Rattus norvegicus: one gene and its partners. The protein of the gene in region 2 purifies or fractionates together with the protein of the main gene of each other region. This does not show direct contact. Links are inferred from orthologs where the notes say so. Each region holds a gene or a part of one and is shown on either strand. Other genes may lie near its edges.

What was found. The genes of interacting proteins can lie anywhere in the genome.
Region 1: the proteins of Mms22l (region 2) and Ssrp1 purify together in Homo sapiens (affinity purification with mass spectrometry; 3 studies listed by BioGRID and IntAct, counting the BioPlex papers as one, with this or other methods). This does not show direct contact. The link is inferred for Rattus norvegicus from reciprocal best matches to the Homo sapiens genes MMS22L and SSRP1.
Region 3: the proteins of Mms22l (region 2) and Asf1b purify together in Homo sapiens (co-immunoprecipitation; 4 studies listed by BioGRID and IntAct, counting the BioPlex papers as one, with this or other methods). This does not show direct contact. The link is inferred for Rattus norvegicus from reciprocal best matches to the Homo sapiens genes MMS22L and ASF1B.

Annotation. Positions count from the first base shown.
Region 1 is NC_086021.1:90,537,983-90,541,482, reverse strand, and holds the end of Ssrp1 (FACT complex subunit SSRP1), read right to left. Parts: intron 3,221-3,500; coding exon 3,091-3,220; intron 2,119-3,090; coding exon 1,948-2,118; intron 1,826-1,947; coding exon 1,737-1,825; intron 1,250-1,736; coding exon 1,063-1,249; intron 834-1,062; coding exon 762-833; 3' UTR 351-761; downstream 1-350. UniProt on the Homo sapiens protein: Component of the FACT complex, a general chromatin factor that acts to reorganize nucleosomes. The FACT complex is involved in multiple processes that require DNA as a template such as mRNA elongation, DNA replication and DNA repair.
Region 2 is NC_086023.1:43,105,914-43,109,413, reverse strand, and holds part of Mms22l (protein MMS22-like), read right to left. Parts: intron 3,250-3,500; coding exon 3,153-3,249; intron 1,879-3,152; coding exon 1,711-1,878; intron 1-1,710. UniProt on the Homo sapiens protein: Component of the MMS22L-TONSL complex, a complex that promotes homologous recombination-mediated repair of double-strand breaks (DSBs) at stalled or collapsed replication forks.
Region 3 is NC_086037.1:41,090,353-41,093,852, forward strand, and holds part of Asf1b (histone chaperone ASF1B), read right to left. Parts: intron 101-3,500; coding exon 1-100. UniProt on the Homo sapiens protein: Histone chaperone that facilitates histone deposition and histone exchange and removal during nucleosome assembly and disassembly. Cooperates with chromatin assembly factor 1 (CAF-1) to promote replication-dependent chromatin assembly.

The sequences.
Region 1 (3,500 bases), on a different chromosome or scaffold from region 2:
ACTCAGGTTTCCACTCTACAGTAGAAAGTCGATCCTCATTCTATTATCTCAAGCCTTGTAAGACCCTTGACTCATACGGTGATTAAGAGCCGCCGCTGCCCCTGCCCCCTCTGTTGGCTAATGGAGTGGAGTGGAAGGAACTCTGAGAGGCTTCCTAATCAGATCAGCACTCATTTCTTGACTCTCAAGTGGCACAGTTTCAAAAACAAGGATGAAAACCAATGCTTGTCAGCTGGGGAGGACATGATGTACCTGGAGACTTTGCTTCCCAGCTGGGCAGGAGGGCTCTGCCCAGTCAGGGAAGGTAAACACCACAGCATGCAAAGTGGGAAAGGAGACAAAGGACATCGTTTCCAAAGTCAGTTCCCTTTATTAAATTGTTTTCACAGACCAGAAATACAAAATAAAAGTAGAAATAGGCCCCTATTAGGAGCTACAGGCCTGACTTCGCATGACCCCTGCTGCAGCAACTTGAACAGGACAGGAAGCAGTTTTGCCCCTACAGTCAGGAAAGTAGCAAAGTAGGATGAGGACTTGGATCCTTCGATGCGCTGCCAGTACCCAGTCTCTTTCCAGATTGCATGGAGCTTTCCTTGCAAAGCAGAGGTTAGGTGCTTCCCTCAAAGCCTCAGGGAAGTGGAAGCCACCAAGAGCAGTTACTCAGATGGCACAGAATCCATAGACACTGGTACCAAATGAGTAGGGAGCCTGGAGGTGTGAGCCTGGAGGTGTGACAGGGCAAGGGCAGGAATTCTCTTCCTCTACTCATCAGATCCTGAGGCAGAGTCCTCTGAGCTTGGAGGAGTACTGGCTAGTTCCTCTTCATCAGAGTCCTGAAAACCAAAGTTCTCTTAGGATAAATGTGTCGAGTGCCAGCTACCTTCCCAGCCACTTAATGGTAAAGGGTTCCTAACGCCTAGTTCTTCCTACAACTCCTGGACTCACCAAAACCTCAGAAGTCCACCGGTCTTCTCTAACTCATTACTCTCACACACCAACCACAACTGGGCCTTACCCACCCCCAGGCACACATAGCTCTAAGCCCCCATATCCTTGCCCAACCTCGCTCCGCCTCCTCTTCTTTTTGCTCTTGTTCTCGCCTGAAGAGCTCTCGTCACTGGACACAAACTCTTTGCTCTTGAAGCTGTCGCTCAACTGCCTGGATGAAGACTTGGATGATGAGCCCCGGGAAGGAGTGGATTTCTTTTCCAACTTTGCTTTTACTTTCTTTTTCTTCTTAGACTTGTCCCTAGATTAGGAACATGGAAAAGAAGCCTGGTCATTAGGCTTTCTGTATTATATTTCTCATAGCTTTAATGAGGACTTTTCCCAGTACTGGCCACACTATTCTCACCATGGCAAATGTAATGTCACTGTCAGCCTAAAGTGCACCAAAGGACAGGATCATACACAAGTACCCCAGAAGAACCAGGGTCAGAGCCAAACCAACTTACATGCAGAACTTACTGAACACTTTTGTTTTATTTAAAAGCTCGTGTGAACTTTGTATTAGGCTTCACAAGAAAACTTTCTTCTGAACTATATCCTATTACTTCAAGTAAAACTCATCTAGGAAAATGGGCCATATTTATCCCTCAACCTGAATTCATCACCCATACTTGGCATAAGAAGCACTACTTAACTGCTGTCAAAAACATGCACAGGAATTCTCTATTCTGACCTGCAAACACAATCTGTCCTAAGCAGTCATTAGCCGTTATGCTCCCAACACTCACCTTTTAGACGAGTCCCCTCGTCCTCCTTCATACTCTTTCATGGCTTTCTCATACTCCCTCCTAGCATCCTCGGCCTTGCGGTCCCACTCCTGCCACAAGCACAAGCACTCCTCAGACTGATGTAAGCAAATGTGCATCCACAGTTGCTCAGGAGTGGCACACCCTGCACCCACGAGCCCTTCTCACTCCCCTCCTTCCCACTGCCACGCACCTCTTTCTTCTCTTTGGACATTCCCTTCCAGATTTCGCCTGCCTTCTTGGAAAGATCTGTGATGCTGATGCCAGGGTGATCTGACTTGATCTTCTCTCGGCTTGCATTAAGCCACAACATGTACGCAGACATAGGCCTCTTGGGGGCATTTGGATCCTTACCCTTCTTCCCCTATGTAAGAAACCAGATGCTACCAGCCATGCACATCCTACAACTATGCCAAGCTTCCCCAAGGCAGGTGCTTGGGAAAGGAGGAGATGCAGGAAGAACTAAGTAGATTTGGGCCACGGAGAAACAGCCTAAGCTACAAGGTGGTGACTGTTCTCTCCTCAGAGAGATCCCCTAGGGCAGAGGCAGGACATCTCCTAATTCAGAGTAAGAGACTCACATATGGTCATGTGCTGAGACTAAGTGACAACTGAGGACTTGGTCCTAAACAGAGCATGTGTGTCACTAAGGCCAAGGAAACTTGGCTAAAAAAGGGAGCAGGCAGATGGCAAGAGCCAGAGAAAGGAGAGCAGTGCTATAAAGCAGTGTCCCCAGACACAGCATGGTTGCTGTGACTGTAAGCACTAAGGGCATTGGCCCACTGATACTCTACCAGACGTGGCAAAGGCATCCGTGAGGACTCGCTCCCTCTAAATGAGCTACGTGTAGATAACAATTGCAAGGAGAACACGAATCACTTTCTTCAGTGCTGTAGCCACTGGTAAATTACTTATGCTCCAGCAACTAACCCTCTTTCCATGTTTACCCATTACACAAGCAATCCTTACTAAACCCACCAGGAAAGAAAGAAGTAAAAGAGATACTAATTATAGAGCTGAGAGAGCAGGAAGGAGGGAAATCATAGTACACTAAATATATGTATAAAATTGTCCAAAAATATTAAAATTAGTCAAATGAACAAAAAAATAAAATACAACACAAATAAAACACAAAAATAAAAAACAAAACAACAACCAAAAAAAAACCCACCCCAGATCCTCAACAAAGTATCTCAGAACCAAAAGGAAAAACTTAGAAAATACCTACTAAAGTCATAACCAGCCTACAAAAGCAACACCGTCAACAGTATCTACTGGTAGTGAACAGGAGAAAGAAAGTAGAAAACGGAAGCACACACATTCTCGCTCCTAATACCTCTGAAGACTTCTTGCGGCTCTTCCGATCCTTGGCCATCTTGGCTCTTTTGAGCTGTTTCCGCTTCTTCTCTTCTCGGTCGCTGTCGCCCTCATTACTGGAGGAGCTGGCAGAGGCATTGCTATCAAACCTGCCAGAATGAGGCTTAGACTCAGAAGAGGAAGATACAGAGGAAGAAGGAAAAGGAATCTAGATATCTGCCCAGAAAGAGCCAAGGGAGTAAGTCCCAAGGACAGCTTCCACCACAATTGCCACCCCAGCTTCCTGCCATTCCTTTTCAGAGCAGCCACCACTGCTCTGGTTATTTGTTGAATACATCAGTGAAAAACAAATGTTTCAGTGGGCTTTTCTCTAAGGCAGGTTCTACTCCACTTCCGCCCTCCAGTACTATACTGTACTGTATCCTGCTG
Region 2 (3,500 bases):
GTCTAAATACCTGTGAGATTCTAAATCTTTAAAATGAGTCTCTTTGTGAACATGCCTGGCCACAAAGAGTAGCTGTGTGTGCAAAGGGAAAGCCGCCCCGTGGGAGGGCTGCCCAGAAGGAAACGGGAGCAAAGATAAAACATAGATTTAGAAAGTGTTAAGTCAGCAATTCTGGAGAGAGTGTGTGCTAGCCATGGGAGGTTTGTGGGTGCCCAGTCATTGAGTTAGCTAAGCCATATTAAAATCTAGAGGGTGTGAGTATATCTTTCATTCATGAATCCAGAGCTCTTGGGTGGGTACAGAGCCGCACACTCCTGCTGGGAGCACAGAGCAGACTCCATAAAATATTTACTGCTACAAGTAGCACATTAGCAAACGCTGTTGTAGTAGTCCAGTGGGCAGGGTTCACAGGGAAATCCAGCCTTTCCATGAGAACTTCTCAGACCCTAGATGCTAGCAGTTTTTGCCAGGGCATGTTTTATGGTATGAAAAGGCACTGTTTCTTTAAGGCTCTGATTTGAATCGATCTAATCTTTTCTCTGTAGAAAACAGAGGCCAGTCAAATTCTCTATAAAAGACATATGCCACTGGGACGCTATGTGAACTTTGTAAGTTTCCTTTTAACAGTTTCTATTGACTGTGCTGCAAAGATGGGATGGACTCTTCTAGTTAGCTAATGTCATAAGCATTTAGGATGTCTCTGGGGATGGACTCTTCTAGTCAGCTAATGTCATAAGCATTTAGGATGTCTCTGGGTAAACTGACACAGAGTTCCATAGTAAAATGGAATATATGTCATCTGGCTGAGAAAATGCCTTCATAAGATCCAGCAGCAGGTAAACTTGTAAGGAATTTTTTAAAGTAGTGACTGATTTGGGAGGGCACAGCCCACTGTGGGTGAGTTCAGTCCTGGGCTGCTAGTACTGGGTTCTACAAGAAAACAAACTAAGCAAGCCATGAAGAGCAAGCCAGTTAGTTAGCAGCACCCTTCCATGGCCTCTGCATCAGCTCCTGCCTCTGGGGTTCCTGCCCTGACTTCTTTCAGTGATGAATTACTTACTGGGAAGAGTAAGCAGAATGAACATTTTCATCCAGAAGTTGCTTTTGGTCAACTAGGCAACTAGAATAAAGTATTCCATTCTGTAACATGGCTTAGGACATACTAACAGTTCCAGTGCTGACTCCTCTAAAACCATAGGTTTATTCTTAGAATGACAATGACGCCTTTGTCTAAATAGCCAGCATTATTTTTGGATGGGTTATAAGCTTATAAAATGAAACAGAACAGAACACCCTAATCACGTATATGTAGTCAAATCCATACTGTCACCTGCCTTACTCATTGTCACACTGGACATAGCTGGGTAGTTGATCTGTCAATATGGATTTTATATGACAAGTCACCTGAGGCTTCGAAATCCAGCTGTCCCTAAGGACACTGCATGTTGAAAAGATAAGCACCAGGAGGTGTGCAGCTTTGAGGTGGCCATTTCAGCAGGAACATGGTGATGATGCATGGCCCGCTAAGTCACATGACTGTCTACCCATGCAAGCATTACAAAAGTGACAACAGTCATAGCACTGAAGCATTCTTCACATCAAAAGAAAACATCCCATTTTCCTAAATGGGCAACAAAGCATTTTAAAAGAAAGATAAAGCATGTATTATAATGCATTATATGGTACACAAAGTAGTCTAATCAAACATACCTCTGTGCAATATTTTTGCCGAGGCCCCATTTCAGCTCGGAATCCTTCAGAGACTGAGTGAGGGTAGGAATCAACTGGATGCCAATGTGCTGACTCAGTGCTGCTACTGTCTCCAGGATGCTGTATACTTGATAACTGTATTGCATACCGTAGTCCTGGATGAACTGCCTGACAACAAAACAGACAACCTCAGAGTCAGTTTGGGCCAGTGATTTACGTTATAATCTCTTCTCACCACGCAGGACCATTACTTCATAAGGACTGAGAGACTGTGCATGGTAAGGCCTTATATGTTTGCTTAACTACTAGAAGGAGGGTGGTCTCCCATAGTATGGCTTCACCTTCAACACTTTATCCACTTGCCTCCGTCACCGAGAACGTTGGGATTACTAGTTTGTGTCACCATGCCCAGCTTGTGGACACTTAGAGAACAACAACAAAAATGATTGGAAGGTGAATCAGGTGGCTCAAAAAAAAAAAAAAAAAGTAACTCTAAGGACTTTTCATGATATTCTCCCCTACAAACCTGGGATACAAGGAGCGTGAAAGGCAGTAAACAAAGTCACGCTTCCTAGTTATTTTTTTAGCCTATCACATGTCTGTATTAGTCAATATAGTCATGAAAAATTTATTCATATCTTTTTACATGTTTTAAGTGAACAAAAAACCTTATAGGCAGAAAGTCTTTATAAATAAAAAAAAATTATGTCTAAAATTTCCACATTCCACAATCAATAGAACAAAGATTTGACCTTTCCTTTTCTCCTATGGTGTTGGAATGTTCGTGAATGTTTAGTATCATATCAAGTGATCATAACTGAAATTAACTGGAAAGAGCAGACAAGCACCAATTATGAGACAAGAGGAAGAGACCAGGAACCAAATATGCAACGCAGAATAAAAGAAACACACCTCAAATCAAGTGTCATGTCGTGCCTGGACGGGGACATGTGACAGGATGCACAAAAGCTAGCAGGCAGACCCCTCAGGGAGAAATGGCACAAAGACTCTGCCCTAAGAGAAGACTCCAATCAAAGCTAAGGAACTCTAGGAAACTTCAGTGTGTATAAAGCAAGTCGGAGGACCGGGGACAGGCATTTTTACACAGCATCCCCAGGAGCAGGTAAGCAAGCTCCGAAGGCCTGTGCACCTGTTGTTGGAGCTTACACTTGCTTGTGTTTTTCTTCTTAACCACATTCTAGATTCTTTCTCACTGAAGACACAAGTAATTTCAAGTCAGTCAGCTTACCTTTCTCCTTGGCACTTTTACTTTTCAAAAAAGCAACACAATGTAACAAAACCACTGCCCCAAATACTGTAATTGAAACACTGTAAACAAGTAGTAACACATTATGTTTGGGATAATTAGTTATTTAAAAAGCATGTTGGCCGTCAAATGGCTGGCAACCCTCTCCTTGCCAGTTGGCATGCTTTCTAGTTACCTAAACAGAGAAGTCAGCTGGGTGGCAGGTCCTCCTTCTGACCCCACTTGGCAGGTTTTTACCATGCACTGCAGGTTCTCTGTGGCCAGCCTTTTAACTAGGAGAAAATGATAGGATTACACAATGTGTCTGAACTGACCATCTGGATCTTCATTTTTAACACTCTTGATTTAGAAAAATATGTTGTTTTCTTCAAGTATCTGCATACTTTTTTTAAGTTTTCAAGTGAAATAGTTTTAAGTTTGTTTGTTCTGAAGAATACCTAAAAAGTTTAAAAATCTATTTTGAGTCTCAAAGCTGAAATAATGCATATGAAGATGTTTTCTCTTTAGAAAGGTATCCATATTC
Region 3 (3,500 bases), on a different chromosome or scaffold from region 2:
TGCCTTCCTGCAGGAACAGGGCCCACCAGCACTGAGTCTAGGATCTGATCAAACTCCTCGCTCTCAGCTGAGCCCACATAAATGATCTTCCACTCAAGGTCTGCAAGAACATGGGGGATAAGGGAGTTGAGGACTGACACTGCTGAGAGCAAGGTCTTTTTGTCAGCATCAGGTGAATCTGAATATACTAGAAGGTCCTATAACTGCTGGGCAATAGGCCCTGGCACCACAGTCCTGAATTAGAGCAAAATGAAGATCCACTTTAATGGAGACATTTTTTTCCTAATTCTGCCAAGTGACCTTGACTCTGGCCCTCCAGGGAAACTTAGGCCTCTCAGTAGCTGAGAGGAAGCATAGAGCAGAGACTGATCCAAGAGTCCTGTGACAAGGCTTGTGAGGGAACAGCAGGGAGTTAGGCTGCCCTGGTCTCTGGGTAGGAAGTGCCATCCTCTTTCACAGAAGGGTTGGTGCCACCCTAGTAGAGCAGATCCCTCGATAACTGGGGCAGGGTGGCAGATTCCAATCCAGCAGGACAGCCAGGTGGCAGGAGGAGAAAGGCAAAGCTGCGGGGGGAACCAACTTGTCCCAAACTTGTCCACATCTGGCACCGACTCATGCCTACTTGTGCACATTGTGGGACAGAGGCTCTGCCAGCAAATGGTGTGTGATAAGGCATCCCTCCAAACCTGACTCTGTACTCCATCACTAAGGGGGCTTGGTCCTGGAGTATACCCACAAGAGATGAAAGAAAAAGTACCTGGAGACCCTTCCCACTGATCTTAGGAGAGCCCTGGTACTCATAGCCTCTTGTAGGGGGGCCAAGTATTACCAGGAGCAAGGTCATGCTAGTACAGAGAAGCTTGGCATCAGACCCAGAACTTATTTTAGGCTCTTTGAAATTACACAACCCCTAGCTCCAGCAGCTGGGAAAAGTTGCACAAGCTGAGATTTTCAGAGAACTCTTGGAAGCTGCCTGCTCTTGGTCCAGTGTGGTGCAGGCATCCAACACACTGGAAGCACACAGATCATATGTGGAGTTTGTCACCTGGATCATAAAGCTCTCCTTTATACATCTATTCCCTTGTTCCTTCACACGTTCACCCAGATCTTTCTGGTGACCCCATGCCCACGGTTCACCAGGTTCAAACTCCAGCCTCAGCATTTTGGGGAAATTATTAGGTATTTCATTTTTTAAGCTTTATTTTCTTATGTGCATCCCCTTTTATTTTATGTGCATGGGGTGTTTGCCTGCATGTCTGTCTTTGCACCCTTTGGTGCCTGGGCTCAGCGGCCAGAAGATGGTGTTGGGTCTCTGGAACTAGAGGTACTGTAGTGGGTTGGTCTAGTGCTAATTGTATTCAAATGCTAACTCCTGTATCCAAGATCTGGCTGCTCCACGACAAGCCTTCACTTATACCAACCAGCCTTTGTTGTGTAAACCTTGTTCCCCAAGATATCCCTGATTGGTTAGTAAAGATGCCTAGAGTATGTAGAGCAGAAGAGAAGTAGGCGGGGCTTCAGGTCCTGGGACTGGGGTATCAGGCAGGCACCACAGTGAGAGAAGAAATAAGTTATCATGAGGTAGGTGGATCACGAGTGCATGACCATGAGGGCTGCCTGCCTATTGGAGTAGGAGTGACCCAGGCAGAACATGGCAAGTTCTCAGTTATTAACAGCGAAGTAGACAAAACATAAAAGGTTGATATCTGCCTAGCTCTAACAGTTTAAAGCTTATTATAATATTTTATTTATTTATTATATATATGAGTACACTGTAGCTGTCTTCAGACACACCAGAAGAGGGCATCAGATCTCATTACAGATGGTTGTGAGCCACCATGTGGTCGCTGGGATTTGAACTCAGGACCTCGGGAAGAGCAGTCGGTGCCCTTAACCACTAAGCCATCTCTCCAGCCCTTAAAGCTTATTATAAATGTAAAGGATTTTGTCTTTTATTTGAAAACTATGATCTAAGTCAGATAGAAATCCCCAAAATAATATTTACCACAACATTTGGCAAACCAACGAGGGGTAAGAACTTACTTATAACCCAAATTGAAATTTCAAATTCCCTGGATGAAAAGTGCATTGGAGACGGCTCAGTGGTTAAGAGCACTGACTGCTTTTCCAGAGGTCCTGAGTTCAATTCCCAGCATCCACATGGTGGCTCACAACCATCTGTAATGGGATCCGATGCCCTCTTCTGGTGTGTCTGAGGACAGCTACAGTGTATTCACATACATGAAATAAATAAATCTTACAAAAAAAAAAAAAAAAAAAGATGCGTTGCCCCATTAAGATAGAAGTAGTTAACAACTATGTGGGTGCTGGGAACTAAACCTGGGTTCTTTGGGAGAGTAATCAGTGGTCTAACTGTAGAGCACTCTTTCTAGCTGTCCCCAGCTGTTTATTTCTGAGGAGTGCTGGTGATGGAACTTAGGGCGCATGCCAAAAAAGTGCTGTACATCTGAGCCGTGCTCCCAGACCCATGGATCTAGTTGTATAAAAACTGACACTCTAGAATCAGTGATTCTGGAAGGACAGAGAAGTATGTGACTCTTGCTTGATCTCACTTGCTGAGATGACTCTGTCAAGCTTTACTTTCCTCAGGGCCCTTCCCCCAAGCCCCATGGTGTCACATATTTGTACACTTAATCAATGTGTTGGAGGGAATGCCAGGCAAAAAAGAGTTTGACACAGAATATTCCCTGTGTCCCCAAGGCACCCAACATTGCTTAGTCTAGGTCAATACCTTTGGCAAAACCTTTTAAAACACTGTAGTGTACACTAGAAGCCAGCAGATGGTGAGCCCCGTCTTGACATGGGCCTGAAACAGACCAGAGAATTCACAAAAGACCACATAAAATACGGACTGGCTACAGTCAGAGCTGATCAAATCTATAGAAATAGATGGTGAAATAAGGTGCAATAATTTTAAATTTTAAGTTTTTCTCATAGTTTCTTCCTTTAAAAGACAGAATTGCACTGGATATATCTTTAATCTCAGCTTGTGAGACATAACTTTAAAAAAAATGACAGAGTTGGGTTTGAGAAATGGCTCTGAGGGTTAAGGCACAAAATATAAAGACCTAGCTCAATCTCCAAAATACATATGGTGGAAGGAGAGCCAATTCCAGCAGGCTGTTCTCTGACCTCTGCAAGCACTAGCACATACATACACATATGTAAAAACACAGGAACAACTAATACAGTCTTCCTTTGTAATGTAGGCTAGTCCAGGACTTTAACATACCTGCAAGCCTTCCAAGTATTGGAATTACAAGAGTGCACCCATGTGTGTCTCTCACTGAATCCGGAGCTTATTTGGTTGGTGAGATTGGTAGCCAGTGCACCCTTGGGATCCATTCATCTATACCTTTTGCAATCCCCTGCTTGTACCTGAGTGTTGAACATTCAAACTCAGGTCCTTCCTGAGCCATTTCCTCACACTGGAATGCAGTATTTTGAACAGAGAGAAACTAAAGATTTCACTTCAGAAT